Drosophila melanogaster: one gene and its partners. The gene in region 2 interacts genetically with the main gene of each other region. Each region holds a gene or a part of one and is shown on either strand. Other genes may lie near its edges.

What was found.
Region 1: of AGO1 (region 2) and Pink1, changing one suppresses a phenotype caused by changing the other (phenotypic suppression), as found in Drosophila melanogaster (one study listed by BioGRID).
Region 3: of AGO1 (region 2) and gcm, changing one suppresses a phenotype caused by changing the other (phenotypic suppression), as found in Drosophila melanogaster (2 studies listed by BioGRID).

Annotation. Positions count from the first base shown.
Region 1 is NC_004354.4:6,682,124-6,687,802, reverse strand, and holds Pink1 (PTEN-induced putative kinase 1), read right to left. Parts: upstream 3,963-5,679; 5' UTR 3,733-3,962; exon of another isoform or gene 3,676-3,732; 5' UTR 3,342-3,675; intron 3,286-3,341; 5' UTR 3,247-3,285; coding exon 3,082-3,246; intron 3,018-3,081; coding exon 2,232-3,017; intron 2,169-2,231; coding exon 1,155-2,168; intron 1,091-1,154; coding exon 890-1,090; 3' UTR 765-889; downstream 1-764. Other genes in the region: CG3184 (uncharacterized protein), read left to right, coding at 1-133; CG44303 (uncharacterized protein), read left to right, coding at 438-440, 501-764; Fum2 (fumarase 2), read right to left, coding at 4,173-4,432, 4,493-5,297, 5,381-5,584, 5,669-5,679.
Region 2 is NT_033778.4:13,954,589-13,960,486, forward strand, and holds the start of AGO1 (Argonaute-1), read right to left. Parts: upstream 3,502-5,898; 5' UTR 3,374-3,501; intron 2,763-3,373; 5' UTR 2,585-2,762; intron 1,093-2,584; exon of another isoform or gene 1,012-1,092; coding exon of another isoform or gene 829-1,011; exon of another isoform or gene 821-828; coding exon of another isoform or gene 627-820; intron 457-626; coding exon of another isoform or gene 329-456; intron 274-328; exon of another isoform or gene 262-273; 5' UTR 220-261; coding exon 99-219; exon of another isoform or gene 1-98. Other genes in the region: mRpL53 (mitochondrial ribosomal protein L53), read left to right, coding at 329-456, 627-820; CG33155 (uncharacterized protein), read left to right, coding at 829-1,011; Rpn13 (regulatory particle non-ATPase 13), read right to left, coding at 4,057-4,810, 4,980-5,500.
Region 3 is NT_033779.5:9,578,998-9,583,484, forward strand, and holds gcm (glial cells missing), read right to left. Parts: upstream 2,749-4,487; 5' UTR 2,596-2,748; coding exon 2,198-2,595; intron 2,123-2,197; coding exon 1,006-2,122; 3' UTR 568-1,005; coding exon of another isoform or gene 514-567; 3' UTR 501-513; downstream 1-500. Other genes in the region: CG31709 (uncharacterized protein), read right to left, coding at 1-34, 96-450, 514-567. UniProt on the Drosophila melanogaster protein: Transcription factor that induces gliogenesis. It determines the choice between glial and neuronal fates. Also has a role in the differentiation of the plasmatocyte/macrophage lineage of hemocytes.

The DNA of each region.
Region 1 (5,679 bases), on a different chromosome or scaffold from region 2:
GGAGCATAAGAGCATCTGCTACGGGGCCGATTGGGCACCATGGAGAAACAAGGACGATGCGTCCTTGACCATGGCCACTTGCTCCTTTTATGATCACACGTTGTGTGTGAGTCGCGTGGATATTAACAAATGAATTCGATATCTGTATATTATGTTATGTGACTAAAAACTAAAAGAAAAATAAACATTTGCTGGCTTATGTTTTTCAACTATCTATAGTTTGTATAATAGTTTGCGGAAAAAACAGAATTGTTCATGGCATTTGGGATATCCTAAGTTTTCCAAAACTAATTTTAAACTGCCAACATCCCTGGCAGGCGATATCGATAACGCATGCAATCGGCTCAGCCCTGGTGCGGTTATCGTAAGTTCTGTCAGCGCATTTTCATTCGAAGTTTGCGAATTCAGAGAAGTGAATGAACTTGAACTGTTTAGTTATGGTAAGTACTAAACGTAGAGATCCTGCTAACTTTATAAACTCCTCATTCTACTCCGCACAGCATCCCCCACAAAATCCAAACAAGTTGGACGCCGAGGATAGCCTGGATCAGGCTATAGACAACATCGAAGACTCAAACGAGGCCAATCTCTATAAGCTTATCGAGCTGGAGGAGCAGAATGTGGCCTGGGAGAAACATCTTGCGGAACTCCAAATTATGATCAGGCAGGTGATGGAAAAGCTCGACAGGAGTTTGGTCAAACAGGAGGCGCTGGTGGCGAAAATGCAGAAGCTGAAGAATCAGAAAGATCAGGAGGGTCAATAATTATTGTACCGGAGGCGTGCTTTTGGCGTTAATTTTGATTTCATTTATAAATACATATGTAAAATATAGGTATCACACGCTTTTCCATTTGATTTTCTCAGAGTAACAAGTAGAAGGCTTTTCTCCTACGCCACCACATTCTGGATCCAGTTGAGGGCGCCGCGAATGCGACGCAGCCGGGCGCGTGCCAGAAAGCTGCATATGAGCAGGTACTCCACATAGGCGCGCCTATTGCCACAGCTGGCCACTGGCATCAATCCGGCGCCCATCTGTGGACGACCCTCGCACATAATCTTAGTGGTCAGCGAAAGGAGCCACTGTAGGATCTGTAAAAAAAAATCATAATTAGCTTAAAAGGATGCTGATGTGGTATCAAACACTGCGACCCACCTCCGGACTGTTGGGCATGCCGCCCGCCTTAAGCCAATTGGATGGGGCCCAGAGGAACAGCTGCACCACATTTGCCGCAATATCCGGACTGACCCGCTTGGACGGGTTGGGATTGAGGATGTTGTAGACCAGCTGTTGCAGCAGCGGCGGGCAAGCATCGCTCATTGGCGGCAATTGGTCCTGTCGGTAATCGCTGTTCCTCAGCGAAAGCGTCATCTCACCGCGTTCGCGCGCCATCCCACCGCTGCTCGAATAGAACGGATTGCGGTTGCCAAAGATTTCGTAAGCCAGGGCACCGCAAGCCCACAGATCGGCCTTGCCATAATTGAGTACGGCAAACGGACCGGGCATCGTATTGAAGATCTCTGGCGCCATCAACGCCGCATTGCCGCCCTTGTCGACGTCGTGCGAAACGTACGGCAGGCGCAGGCCATGCACCTTGTCCGCCAGACAACAGCCAAAGTCGGAGAGCACTAGCACCGGCGCCGCATCGTCCTGCAGCTCGATTAGCACATTATCAGACTTTAGGTCACGATGGGCAACGCCGTGACGGCTCAAATGGTTGACAGCCTCGAGCATTTGAGCCAGCAGCAGGATGCGATTGCGCGTGCTCAGATCCTGGCTATCGAGCAGGCCGCGAAGACTGTGATCGTAGCGTTTCATCAGCAGATACAGCGACATATTGCGGCCATAGCCCTGTGGATTGATGCGTTGCGGCTGCGCCACCGGATACAGGAGATGGCCATCGGGAAAGTTGCGCACCTCGTCGCAAAAGAAGCCAAACATACAGACAATGTTCGGATGCCGCGGCAGGTGAACAGTTTGATTCTGCAGCAAACGTTCCCACTCATCGGCGGCCTCATTCATGCCGCGCTGGCGTGCCGGTACCGTCTCCTTGTACATGGCACGCAGTATGGACAGAGCGTTGCTCTGGATGTCGTAGTTGAACATCATTTTGAGTGCCAGTGGATAACTGTCCACAGAGCTGTTGATGTTTGAATTCGCTGGAGAAGTCTGCAAGTTAAAGCAAAGAGCGTGATGGCAAGTTGCCATGCAGATTTAAGCTTACATATTTACCACATTGAAGGCACTGCTGCTGGGCTCCTGGTTCTGATGCTGCTCTTGTTCCTGATTCTGATGCTGCTGTTGCTCGTGGTGCCGCTGGTCCTGTTCCCTCGACTGGGCGCCCACGAAATCACTGGCCGCAGATGGCTGGCTGTAGTGGAAGACGTTGTCCACAGAGCCGCCAAAGTTGTGAACAAAGCGCGACATGTTCTGCAGCGGCGACATCATCTCGTGGGTACTCCAGCTATTCGGCGCAAAGGCTGGCGTTGCCTGCGGCTGCGCATCGGTATGCAGGGATGCACCATCCGAGGCAACATCTTTCTTGAAATCCGCTGCATAGACGACAGCGGCACAACCTTTGGCTATGGGCGGACCGATTTCCAAGTCATCGATGGTGAACTTGCTGTCTAGCGTATCGGAGATCTCGTCGTGATTCCAGGCGTTCTGCAGCCGGCTAGCTGCCTCCCGAATCTCCCAGCACACGCCCTCCAGTTCATCCTCCTTGCTGAGCACACCCGATCCGGAGGCCAGACTAACGCCAATCAGGGCGAAGAAGGGCGCTGAATCGCCAAAGAATAGCTTGCGGGTAGCGCGCTGGCGCAGATCCTCCGAGTAGGTGGTGGTCACCCGGCTGAGGATGTTGTCGATGAACAATTTGCGCGCATGCTGGCCCACTCGGAAGATTCCACTGCTGCTGGTGGGGCTACTGCCGCTGCCATTAAACGGTGATCCCGACGGGGAGTTGATGGTGCGGGGCACTACATTGACCACCGATTTGGCCGCCTGCTGGGGCGTTGTCTGGCGAAGAGATTGGATGCGGGTTAATTGGACATGCCTTGATCATCCGTTTAGCTTGACTTACCCGCAGCACATTGGCAGCGGTGGAGGGTAGGGGAAAGCCTCGCTTGCTTCTTGTCTTCAATTGATTCTGGTCCAAAATGTTGGCGTGTATATCACGTTTACAATAGCTGCGCAAAATGTAGCGACCATGTTTGATCAGTCGCACGGTCAGCAGTCTCACAGACATCTTTCGGCCCGCAAAGACCTCGGCTCCTAGTGCCTGCAACTGAATGAAGCACCTTAAACGGTCTGTCATCTATTAATTTAATTTTTAATTTTTACCTATTCTTTAAGATTTGTGGTGCTTAACTCTTGCTGCTGCTTCCTCTTCTTCTCCGCCAATTTTGCTCATGTGTGCGATCGATAGCGCCGATTTATAACCAAACAGCTGCTGTCGTTTCGTTTCGGTTCGGTTCGTTTCGATTCGATTGTTTTGTTTTTGCGTCGCAAATAAATTTTCTGTTTGTGGGTGGTGGTGGTTGTGGTGCAGCTGCGGGGCGAAGTGTGGGGGCGGTGGTGGCAGAACTACAAGGCGAAATCGTCGAATCGAAAGGGTTTATTTTTGCAATGATTATCCAAAGATATATCGCCTTTTTCGATATCTGTGTGGGCTAGACTGATTTTGGGCTATTTTCAACTGAACAAAACGATTAATTTACGACCTCCAACTTGCCTGGCAGCCAATTTTTAATGTAATGCGCCTACTTCAACGTTTCGTTTCGATTCGATTTGGTCGTTAGATAATCGCTGGTCAGCTGGATCTTTTCATTTGTCACGGAAAATGTGCGCCGCAATAAACACTTGTTTAAAAGCTTGCTTTGCTTATATTTCGCTATAAAATAATAGCTAAGTGTGCAAGAATTTACGATAAAAACAACGGAATAATTTAGAAACAGCAAGGCGTTAGTGTGACCACACTTACGGTATATCTTTAGAATCGATAATGACTATCGCGTAGTGTGGACTCGAATCATTTGGAGAATTCAAAAACTAAAAACCGTTATTCACCTGCCGTAAAATCAACAAATTAATACAATCTATTGAAATATCCTGCTACACACAAAAATTTATTACACGAAACTAAAACAAAATCGTCAATAGCCGCACAGCGAATCACTTCGGTCCCAGCATCTCCTTGGGATTGACCCACTCCTTGAACTGCTCTTCGGTAATTCCGGTCTTCAGTGCCTCCTCCTTCAAGGTCGTCTTATTCTTGTGCGCCGTCTTGGCGATCAGGGCGGCCTTGTCATAGCCAATGTGCGGATTCAGCGCGGTCACCAGCATCAAGGACTCGTTCATGATCTTGTCGATCCTCTCCTTGTTGGCCTGCAGTCCCTCCACGCAGTTCTTGCTGAAGGTCATGCTGCCATCAGCTGGGAGGAGAAGGTTATGTATGCATGTTTTTCCACTTGGAAAACACATTTCCGACTCACCCAACAAGCGAATGGAGCGCAGCACATTGGACACGACCAGGGGTTTGAATACATTTAGCTCGAAGTGCCCGTTGGAGCCGCCGATGGTCACCGCCACCTGATTGCCCATCACCTGGGCACACAGCATGGTCATTGATTCGCATTGCGTGGGATTCACCTTGCCGGGCATGATGGAGCTACCGGGCTCGTTCTCCGGCAGCATTAGTTCGCCCAGACCGCAACGCGGACCCGATCCCAGCAATCGGATATCGTTGGCGATCTTCATCAGGCTGACGGCGATCGTGTTGAGCACACCATGCACCTCCACCATGGCATCGCGGGCAGCCAGTGCCTCGAACTTGTTGGGCGCCGACACGAAGGGCAAGCAGGTTAGCTCCGAAATGCGCTTGGCCACCTTCTCGGCGAATCCCTTGCGTGTGTTCAGACCCGTACCCACAGCAGTGCCGCCCAGAGCCAGCTCATAGACGCGCGGCAGACAGCCCTTGATCCTTTCCAGACCGTTGGTCAACTGCTGTGTATAACCGCTGAATTCCTGGCCCAAAGTCAGCGGAACTGCGTCCATCAAGTGGGTGCGTCCGATCTTGATGATGTCCTTGAACTCATCCGACTTGGACTTGAGGGCATCCCTCAAGTGTGTAACCGCCGGAACAAGCCGCTCGTTCAGCTCCATGCCCACCGAAATGTGAATGGCCGTGGGGAAGGTGTCGTTGGAGCTCTGCGACTTGTTCACATGATCGTTGGGATGCACCGGCTTCTTGCTGCCCAGTTCGCCGCCCATCATCTTAATGGCCGCATTGCTGATCACCTAGTAGGTTTGCCAATGGCATGGGGCAGGAGAAGCATCCAGCTATACACATTTCTCTCGTTAGCCCTATCTAACAATCTTACCTCGTTGGTGTTCATATTGGTCTGGGTGCCCGAACCGGTTTGCCAGATGACCAATGGGAAGTGACCCTGTTTGTATAGCTTGCCGGAAATGACATCGTCGCAGGCGCAGGATACGGCATCCGACACCTTGCCATCTAGTCCGTAATCCTTGTTGACCTCGGCACATGCCTTCTTCAGTATGCCCATGGCCTGGATCACCGGCATCTGCGGGCAGTTTGGGGATTAATTGGCTATGGCAAAGCACTTGGTAGATGCCAGAATATGTTGGTTGGTTGGTTGGTTGCCTACCGGCATACGTT
Region 2 (5,898 bases):
AAAGGGTGCAGTGAAGTATTCACACCAGAAAAACCGATCCTTCGAGGGCTAAAAAGGTGATGGGGTTGGGGAATGAAATAAATGCGTGCCACACTCACCGTAGACTTTCCCAATGATGCCCACGGTGGAGGTCATCTGGAGATCCGGAAAAGTCAGCGGCAGCGTGTGCGGATGGAGCTGAGCTGGCCCACCGGGAGCCAGCTCACGCTCCGTGGACATTTTAGTCGGTGTCGGCGTCAGTTTGAGGCGGCGTCGCTGCTCCTGAAAAATCAAGTAAATCGTGATGATAAATCAATAATCTAGATATCTATTTCAATTCTAATTTCAGGGAATTCCTCTTCCTGCTCTCCACACCCAAAGTGGCAGCTACGAATCCCAAGTGCGTGGTCAAGCCAGAAATCGTCTGCGATCGCCAGCCGGCCAACATCAAGTTTGCCCTGATTGATTCAGCGCAAGGTAAGAATACCTAAACTGGGACAGCTGAAATATCTAACTAAAAGGAACCAAAATACATATGAAATATGTATTGAAAAATTGGTTTCCTTTTAGCGTGGGCAACTAAGTTAACCCTTTTGAAACTGCAACATTCAAAGAGCAAACACTTATTGATATTATATCATTCACAGAACAAGCCCAAGTCAAGGAGATCCGCTTCAACAGCGATAACCTAAACACACTAGAGCTGCTGCAGCTGTGCAACAAGCACGTGTCCAGCTTGGCACCGCGCGAGGAGATCACCAACAAGGTCCTGACCAAGGCGGAGAAACAGAAACTAGCAGGAGGCGCCGGCGGCGGAAAGAAGGCAACCAAGAAGAAGTAACCATCAGGATGGTGAGGAAGCACAAAGGAACACTGGCGGTGATCGAGAAGATCTACCAGGATATACCCGCATTCTCCGACATCTTCACCGAGGAGAGCTTCTACATGTTCGCCTTCTGTTTCGTGTGCGCCACCATTCTGGTGGCCTTCATTCTCTCCCGGTTCATCACCATCAAGCCCGTCGATTTCTAAGCCAATTGTATTGTTCAATTCCGCACACGTACTTTTCAAAATATATATACGCTCTAACATGTAACAAACACTCCGCACTGTATTGTCTTTTTGGCCCGACTGTGCAAAAGGGCAGCGCTCGATTCGATTCGGTCAGCCTGTCGTTTGTTTCATTTTTTTTTCGCCATTCGAAACCAGTTTTTCGGTCCCTGGCAAACCGGAAAATCATCTGCTCCTGCTGCTGCTGCAGCGGCTGCTGTTTGCTGCGCTTGCTGATGTCAGCGGATCGGAGAGCCGCCTGCCGTCCCAAAGCTTATAATCACAATGGGGCGGGAGGAGCCAATGGTAATTGGACCGCAGGAAGTCGACCAAATGGGCCATGCAAAGTGGACGGTGGACGTGGCTGGGGTGGACCACTACAGACTTGTTCATGAATTGTGGCATTAATTTGTTACTGCTCCAAGTGAATGATCATCTGCATTCTTGTAATGACAACAAGGATGCAACAGGCAGTGGAGAAAGCTTCTCTGTTGCCAAGACAGCTGTTGAGATGAATTGAAGTCTTATTCTAATGGGGGAGCAAGGAAGAAAGTGCACTGTGCAGTTCAAGCTTTGAGCTAAAGTTTTGAAATGGCGCGCTCTAAATGTGTGAATATGTACGTATTTGCGACGAAATCGATGGCTGCAACTGGCAACAATCTGTTGGAGTGTGGCAGCTGCAAAAATGGTTGGTGAAAGTTGCCCCAAAAAGCTGCGGCACCCTGTGATTAATAGAATTCTGTTCAGAGTGCCCCCAAGTTCAATGTCAGGCTGCAAGCTTTCTCCCCGCCTGTTCGCCAGCCGTTTTGAAGGAGTCACGTCGTAAAAACTTTCACCACCCACTTTTAAATTTTGAAGTTGCGAACGAGGTATTATAGCTTCGATCATAAGATTGCAAATTGGAGCTTGCGCATTAATAACATAGCAAATTTAAGTTTTTGAAACCGATAAGTTTTTTATACTTATAAAACCTTTTTTTAATATGTCGCTAGAAACGTTAAAAAGCTTTGTTTAATTATAGCATAAGTCCTTACAAATTGGTTTTAAATTACTGGTTTTTGTTATAAGTTAGTAACTCATATAAATTTTAACTCCCCAATGTTTTGATAAGATTTTAATCGGTTTAGGATTGGATCATATAATCCTATCGCAATAACTGTATAAAAGGGTATTATTAGTTTGTTAAAAGTTCAAGAGCATGTAAACCTGTCGACACGAACTTCTTCGTCGATTCGTGACGTAATTCGCGAGGGACGTGGATGGCGGGGATATTAACGAACGAAAGTTCTATTGGAAGCTAAGGATGTGACCTTTCTACCAAAACATAAACACTGTCTGTACGGTCGTCCCTCTCGCACCCCCGCGCTCACACGCTTGGCGCTCTTGAAAATTTCCCAAAGCATATGCTCAGGCGCCATTAGTGTTTTGGTTTCCTGTATTTTTGTTTTTTTTTTTTTTTTATTTTGGGGCACTTCCATTTTACTTGCAGCTCCTGCAGCTGTTCTGGAAGCCTCCATTTGCCGGCAAATTGAAAGATTCATAATTTTGTACTTACCTTATCGCAAAATTGCAGCTGACTTTGGTGTGTGTGTGCGCTTTTATCAGCTTTATCAGCGGCAAATCAATCGTTTTTTTTGGTGAATTCCGTTTAATGGAGGGGAACTCATTAAGGAGTTGAGTGGGGTTTGCGTCTCGACTGGATTTAAACCGTTGCGGACGTTACTTTTCCAGCGCTAATTGGAAGAAACGAGAAAGATAAGTGCAGGAAATGGAAATGGAATTGGTTAAAACGCAGTTTGTGCGGCTGCTGTTGTTGTTAGTGTTGCCAGATCGTTGCGCCGGAGATATGCATGAAATTGCGAGTCCGGGGAGCTTTTTGTTTACTTTGCTATTTGACAACACACACTCTTAAGCAGCTCCTATTTTATTTAGTTTTATTTTTTGCAAGCTTCCAGGCCTGTTTAACAGCGCGCGTGTGTGTGCGTGTGAGTCAAAGGTTGTCGGTGTGCGTTAGGCACTCGACTCTCTCTCTCTCTGTCTCACTGCCCTCTCTCTTCGCGCTTTCTGTGTTTGCTTTGATTTTTGTTTTTGCCGCGGCTTTTAACTTTTTTATGACAACTACTTTGGAGGGAAAAGCTTTCCCCACAGCTCCGCGAAGCAGTCATGCAAAAAAAAAACATACAGGCTGCCACTAGACACACACACCTTCTCACGTCCGCCAAAAGCACCAACACACAAACACACACAGGCACAGAGATTGCTGCAAAATGAAAGCACCAACAACAACAGATACAAAAACATCCAGCCCGCAACGCAAAAATTGGCGAAAAAATATGGCAATTACTGCAGATCTGGATATATCCGGGTTTGATTCGCCTGGCGGAGATCGCTTGAGATCGTTATGTATGAGAATTGAGAGTCAGCTTCGGAAAATTGCGAACGCGCGAGTTTTGCACAAACACAACTTATTTGCTGGCCGTTTTGGAATTGAATAAAATAAATATTGTTGCGTGTGCCTGTGTGTGTATATATCTGTGTGAGACGGCTCTCGCTGAGAGAGCGCGCAATTCGCGCCAGAAAGGGACGACCAGTGTGTTGCGATGAGAGAGCGGGGCAGCGAGCTTTTGTTAGGGGGACACCAACAAAATGACCTTGTCGGGATTAATATTACCGTTACTTCCATATATCCCCCCATTATTAACTTCAAAATTTAAAATAAATTGTACACGTTAGACTTTGTTTTTTTAAATTAAATTAGGTAAGCCAAAAACCCAAGTATAATGAGTATAATGATGCATTCTGAAAAGAGCTGGACGAGTACTTACCAAAACGCGTATCCTTTTATTAAAGTAGTAATATTTTAAATATAAATTAATAAGCCGTTTTGATGTATATCAAACACACAATTAGATAGATAACTACCGATTAACTCCCATTTGAATTTATTTAGCATCCAAAAATCACTCAGCACATGAAAAAATTTGCTTTCGGATTCCATATCAATGACTACCAAGCCGCACACGTAAGCTACTTTTGCTTCTCCTCCTGTTTTTCGGTAGCGGGATCTGTGTTCTCATCGCGGGCCACTGAAGTTGGGGTTTCGGGATCGCTGGCCTTCTTCTCGCTGGCGGAGGGTTTGCCACCCATGGTGGCACCGGGGGGCAGACTCTTCTCCAGAGCACGCACAAAATCCTCTAGATTGCCAGAGAAGGCGGCGGCCACTGCTTCGTTGGACAACTCGAATTGCTTGATCACAGGTCCCAGCTGGGCCGATTGCAGGGCACTGGAGAACTGGGCCAGAGCCTGCTGGAACTGCGGGGAGGTGATATTGTCCTTGATCTGCTGCTTGCGATCATCGTCCACATCCTCCGACTCGGGCAGGTGCACGATCAGCGTCTTGACATGCTCCGGATCGGCAATTATCTGATTGATGGCATCGGCGCCGGGTAGGGCCGTCGATAGGTCAATATTCAGGGATCGTCCTGCGCCATGTTCGGGGGAGAGATTGGATAAGTAGGCTTGGAATGGATTGGCATAGGCTCCGGTCGATTTTGACGCCGTTGTGGTCGATGTGGTTGAGTTCTTACCGGGGGCATCCGCATCAACGGAGGAGCCGGCACCTTCGCCGACCTGCGAGTTCACATTGCTGCTGCTGCGGCTGCTGCCCGATTTCGATGGAGCGCTCGGAGTGCGCGGCACACTGACGTTTTCGGGCGTCTGCAAGGCCGATGCCCCACCGCCACCCGATGAGGAGGTGTTGCGCGACGAGGGCGTCCGGGAGCTGCGGAGAATATAGAAAGGAAAATATTGAAAAAGGGGGTGAACTCAAGTTCTGGCTTCATTCCTTCGATTACATGCTTATAAACAATAAAAACGATACCCTGTAAGTTAAGAAGCTATCTACTTGACTAGTTCTTGGACACTATGGCTGCAAGGGTTTAAATGCTCACTTCATTTGGCCCAGCAGCGAGCTGAGACCACCCATCTGGCCAACGCCGCCGAAGAGCTGCATCAGCTGCTGCTGCGACATGTTGTTGAGCATGTACTGGAGGTCGCCGTCGTTGCTGCCGCCGCCGCCGCGCTGGTGGGCGGATGGAGGGTTGTTCAGCAGCTCGTTGATGCGGCGGCACTGCTCGTCGTCCTTGTCCGTCTTGGGCTCCTGCATCCAGAAGAACATGCGGCGTGTCGATGACTTGAACTTAAGCACATAGACACGGCCCGTCTTGCACTGATCGACGCGCTTGTACTCGAAGTCATCGGGGAAGACGATGAGATCGTCCTCCACCTTGCCGGAGGTGCGATCCTTCCAGCAGAAGTGCATCAGGCCATCGTCACTCTGGGTCATGTAGACCAGGCCCTTGCGCGGATCCGGATGCACCATCTTGCCCACCATGTTCATGCGACCTGCGCGGAACTCCACCAGGTTGCTGCTGTTGCTGGAACTACCCAGTCCACTTTGTCTTCCAAACATGATGCGGGTGCTTCTTGAGAGCTGGCGAAGATTGGATGAAGAACGTATTGTAATTACGACTTTCTTTGGCGCATAACTCGAAAGTGTTTTATGGTGCCGTGATCGGTTTGGGGTTATTAGTAGTCGCTGCACTACTTACGGGATATATAATGCGTTTACTTTGTTGAGTTTATCAAAAATTCAGTGAATCGTCAATTCCCAATGACGAGCAAAATTTGTCTTCTTCTTACCTCAGCAGTGTTACCATCAACGGGTGAATTCTAACATTTAGTATTTCAAAACACTGTTGAACAAAATTCAGTTTAGACATTTGTTGTATAATTTAAATTGAGTTCGTTGAGTGACTTAGAAATCTTTCGATTGCAAAAGTAACAAGAGAGGTATAGTTTTTAGTTATT
Region 3 (4,487 bases), on a different chromosome or scaffold from region 2:
TGCTGATTTCCACTTGGCTCTAAGCTTAAATAATCTAATAAGAGAGTATTAATTATGCACTTCATTGTATTAGCAATAAGTACAGCTCAACTTACACCGCCCATTGGTATATCGCACCATTACTGACAATGCATTTGGTTCCCTGTTCCCTGTAGTAAGTCCATTTAAAGCTTCCAACGCTCTATCTGTGGTTATAATGTCGGCGTGTCCCCAAAGTGGATTATTTCGTTGTAGCCGTGATCCTGGGCTGATTGGATTCTGTCCATGATGCCTTACTGAGCGCATTGCATTATCACTTGGTGTACGGACTCTGAATTGCATTCTCCTTCTACGATTGCGTCGCCGCGATTTTACCCTAAGGTCTGGAGTTTCCCGATTCGTAATTCCAAGTGCCTGTCCAATCAAATGACGGCGCAAAAATAGCAAGTTAACTAGAGCTCTACGGCGACGCTTCTCAATACAAAATTTGGTTTTATTCATTGTTATTTGTTTAGGCCTTTATTTAGTACTCACAATTGCCATAGTTCGGTTATTTGCACTACATTTTCTAGGGCGACAAGCACCCATTGTTACACGATTTTGGTTGACTAACGAATTTAAACTTGTTGTTGAGGAAAATCCCTAGTTGTATATCCTGCCGCTGGTAATGTTATACTGACAATGATTACGAGCTCCCTTGCTTGACACGTGTCAATTCTCAAAAAAAGGCTGCTTCGATTAAGTTTTTCTTTCAAAAATGTTTATTACTACAAAAAAGTTCATAAATAGGTGGGAAATGTGACTTAAAACTCTATGTGCTTAAGAATACTATTACTCTTACGTGCTCTAAAACTTTGGAATAGCTGGGAAACAAGTACAAAAGTACAAACTAGAAACGTTCAATATATAATAATACACGACCAACAAGCAATGGGAACATGAATGGAAATCAATCAACTAGGGACTAGAACAACGCTTGAGTGGCTCAGTAATAGTAGTTGCGATGAGAGATCTTATCCCGATCCCCTAGCAATAGATGGGATCCGTGCTGTTGACTGGGTGATATGTCGCGTCCATTTGAATGTTCCACGAGTTGTCCACTCCCGTATTGCTGTAGTAGTAGTCGGCGGACTGCATCTGATCCTGCGGCTCCTGTTGATAATTGGTGAGATGCGGAAAAGTTCCCTGTTGCTGATGTTGCTGATAGGCGGTTGCTTCGTCGTAGATGAGATCCACGCCACTGGTCCCTCCGCCATTCAGAGTTGACTCAAACACACTGAAGATCTCCGAGCTGGTTGTGTAGAAACTTGCATCCTGGCTAAGATTCTGGCTTTGGCTTCCATTGCTCACGTCCAGCGAGTTGGGTAGATATCCATTGTAGTAGCCATAATCCTCGGAACAGTAGCCCGAGCTGCTGGTCAAACTGGACGTATCGTCGCATATTTCATACGAAGGCATTCCGCACTGAAGGCTGGAGGAGATTGGCTGGCTGGGATCATAGCTGACTGGTACATGTTGCTGCGGTGAGAGTTGCTGCTGGTATTGTGAGTGCTGCAGTTGCTGCGGTTTGTTCTCCTGGTAATAACTGCCCGTGGAGCTATGCGCTGAGAGAGGTGAGTGGAGCATATCGTAGGAGTACATTCCATTGGCATAGCATGGATCCTCCGTTTCGTAGTGAATCTCTCTATTCCACTGACTGATCACTGATCCTTGTCCTGCTGGGACATATGAACCCTGAGATTGATTAAAGTTGGTGCTATGTGTGGGCGTCGATGTGGGCAGGTAGGTGGTGGGTGGCACCACTAACTCCTGCTTGGTTTCGAGCACATCGGAAGCACCCATCCTTCTGCGCTTGCTCTCCTGGATGGACTGAGTCTTGGCCTGCCGTTTTGTGGGTCTCAGGCTACTCAGCTTGTCGCTCAGCGCCGATTCCCTGGCCAACATTACGGCCAAACTTCGCACACGTCTTCCTCCTGCCAAAAGTCGCCTGGCTTCCGTGGATCCCTTGGCTTCGGGTCTGGGGTGATCGTGGGTGCCCTTGGCCTGGAAATAGATTCCATTTCCGTCCCTGCGCCAGAAGTGGGTCACTGGATAGCCGCAGTGGCCGCGGCAAGCCTGGATTTCCAAGCGACCATTGCAATTTCTGTCAAGAAAAAAAAATAAAAATACCGAGTTAGTTTTGACAATTCTTGGATTTTGTGTTTAGTCAAAAACCCACCTATTGGGACACTGTTTGCCCTGCTGCTTCCTTCTGGCCTTGTCGCAAATGGCGGGTCTCAGATGCACACTGGCTCCATTGGGCAACTTGCACTTGGCACTGCAGAGGAGCACTCCCAGGCAGCTCTTCTTTAGGATATTCACGTTGTGGTTGTTGGTGTTTCGCATGGCCCAACCGCTGGCATGTTTCCTGGCCTCATCACTCTGCACGGAGTAGATGAGCCGGCAATGTCCGTTGGACCAGTCATTGAAATCGTCAAACTCCCCCACCGACGGCATCTTGGAATCGTTGATGTCCCAGTCGATCGCCACCCGGGACTTGGTGGCCGGAGGACTGGGCACAGGCATGGGCACTGGCATCGGTACTGGCATTGTTATAGGCATGCCGTTCAAAACCATTTTTGATGTGTCTATGTAATCGTTAGTTTCAAGTTCACACGCGGTCACTATAGTTTTCCTTCTCAATAGTCTATTACTACTGTGTACTTCTTCTCAACTTTTCTCTGGAGCGACGCGTCCGTTCGCATCGACTGCGCAAGGCTGACTAACTGGGCCCGCTCTGCGCAGCACAGTTAAGTTGCCAGCGGTCGAATCGCACGAGGGTTGCTCGGTCGCAAAGCGGTACGCCCATTGGTCCATGCTGACTTCCAGTTCGGGTGCGCTTGTGTGCGGCTTATCCGCCTTATCCGGCACTCCAGTTTGGGAAATTAGGAGAGTTCCCGAGCAGGTTTGATTGGTAGTAGTGGTAGCAGCAGCTGGAGATGGAGAATTCGTTCTATAGGGAACTGGGAGCTGGGAGAGCTTGAGCACAGGGAGCTGGGAGCTGGGAACTGGCAACTGGGCAGGGAGACGAGTGCTGTGCTGCTCTAGCACCTGCGGTTGCAGCACGCGCTCCACTGGGTAATTGTACGATATGAGAACCAGGGGTTTGAGGCACTCGATGGCAAAGAACACGGCCCCAACCCCAGTCAAAGCTAATTAAGTTCAGAAAAAAAGTTTACAACATCAGTAATGGAAATGGAGATGGGGATGGGGCTGTGTGTGGATGGGGATGTGCTGTATGGCATGGGTTCTGATGGGTACACCTGGCGACAGTCACTGGCAGATGCCAGTGGTCGGGCCTATTTACTTTCGAACTGGATGTGGATGTCGAAATGGGGAGCAAAGTGAAATGGTTGGAGGGCAAGCAGAGTTACGAACAAAATGGAGATGGTTCCAACGAAGCACGGAAAGTAATTTAGTTCAAGGCTTTAAGACTTTTTTAATGCGGACATTAAAGCTGCTAAATCTACTTAACTTCAGAGGTAGAAATTATTCTGTAAAAAAATTTCAAAATCAAACGTAAATTTTAATGGAAATGACTCACAGAAATATAGAAATATTACCACTATATATAGTCACTATTATAGAATTTGGTAAGGCAACGGTATAGCTAACGGAACTACTTCTCACGATCTCAAAATCGATAAAGAAATAAACGTTTGCAAAAAAAGAAACCGAAATGTCGAGCTCCTGCCGATATCTTCAAGATGAAATCAGGGATCTCATAATCGTAAAACACAATTTAGCACGCAAAAAAACGGAAATCAAAAAGAAGAAATCCCATATTGGAAAACCTCCCCTACAAACCCAAAGGCAAATGCCATAACTCACGCATATGAATGAAGCAAAGTTTGCCAAACAAATTCCTTGGGCCCCTTGGCGATCTCAAGTCAGAGATAAACGAAACAAACATAATCATTAAGATGACGAAAGGGTGAGGAAACTCCATAATTTTCACACTTCCACGACAGACCAAATGCCATGCAATTATGACACGAACTGAGCGAGCAACCCGCGGCGCCTTTCTGCCAAGGAGTCGCCCAAAGATCAGGATCGTAGCACGCGATAGGAACTCAAAGGATTACGGCGGACAATGGGAAAGGGTGCTCCGACCGGGACTCGAGGGGCGTTGACACAGAAGAAAGTCATGACGTGGCATATTATGAGGCTGTGCTGGGGAAGCACATCCTACCTGGTCCCAGATTCCCGCACTCAAGGTGGGTGTGTCGCCTTAATGATGCCCGGAATTAACTGTTCCGTTTCAATTACGAGACATCACTTGGCAATCAAATTTATTTGACACTTTCTCTGCGGGGGCCAGTGGAGAACAGAACTCTTTTCTTTCCCAATGAAACTCAGTCCAATTGCGGCTATAAAATTCGACCAAAAATTACGCATAAATGTCATCGTAAATTCGGCATCTACCCTATCCGTCGGCGGTGTCGTGGGAAGTTACGCCCCTGGCATAT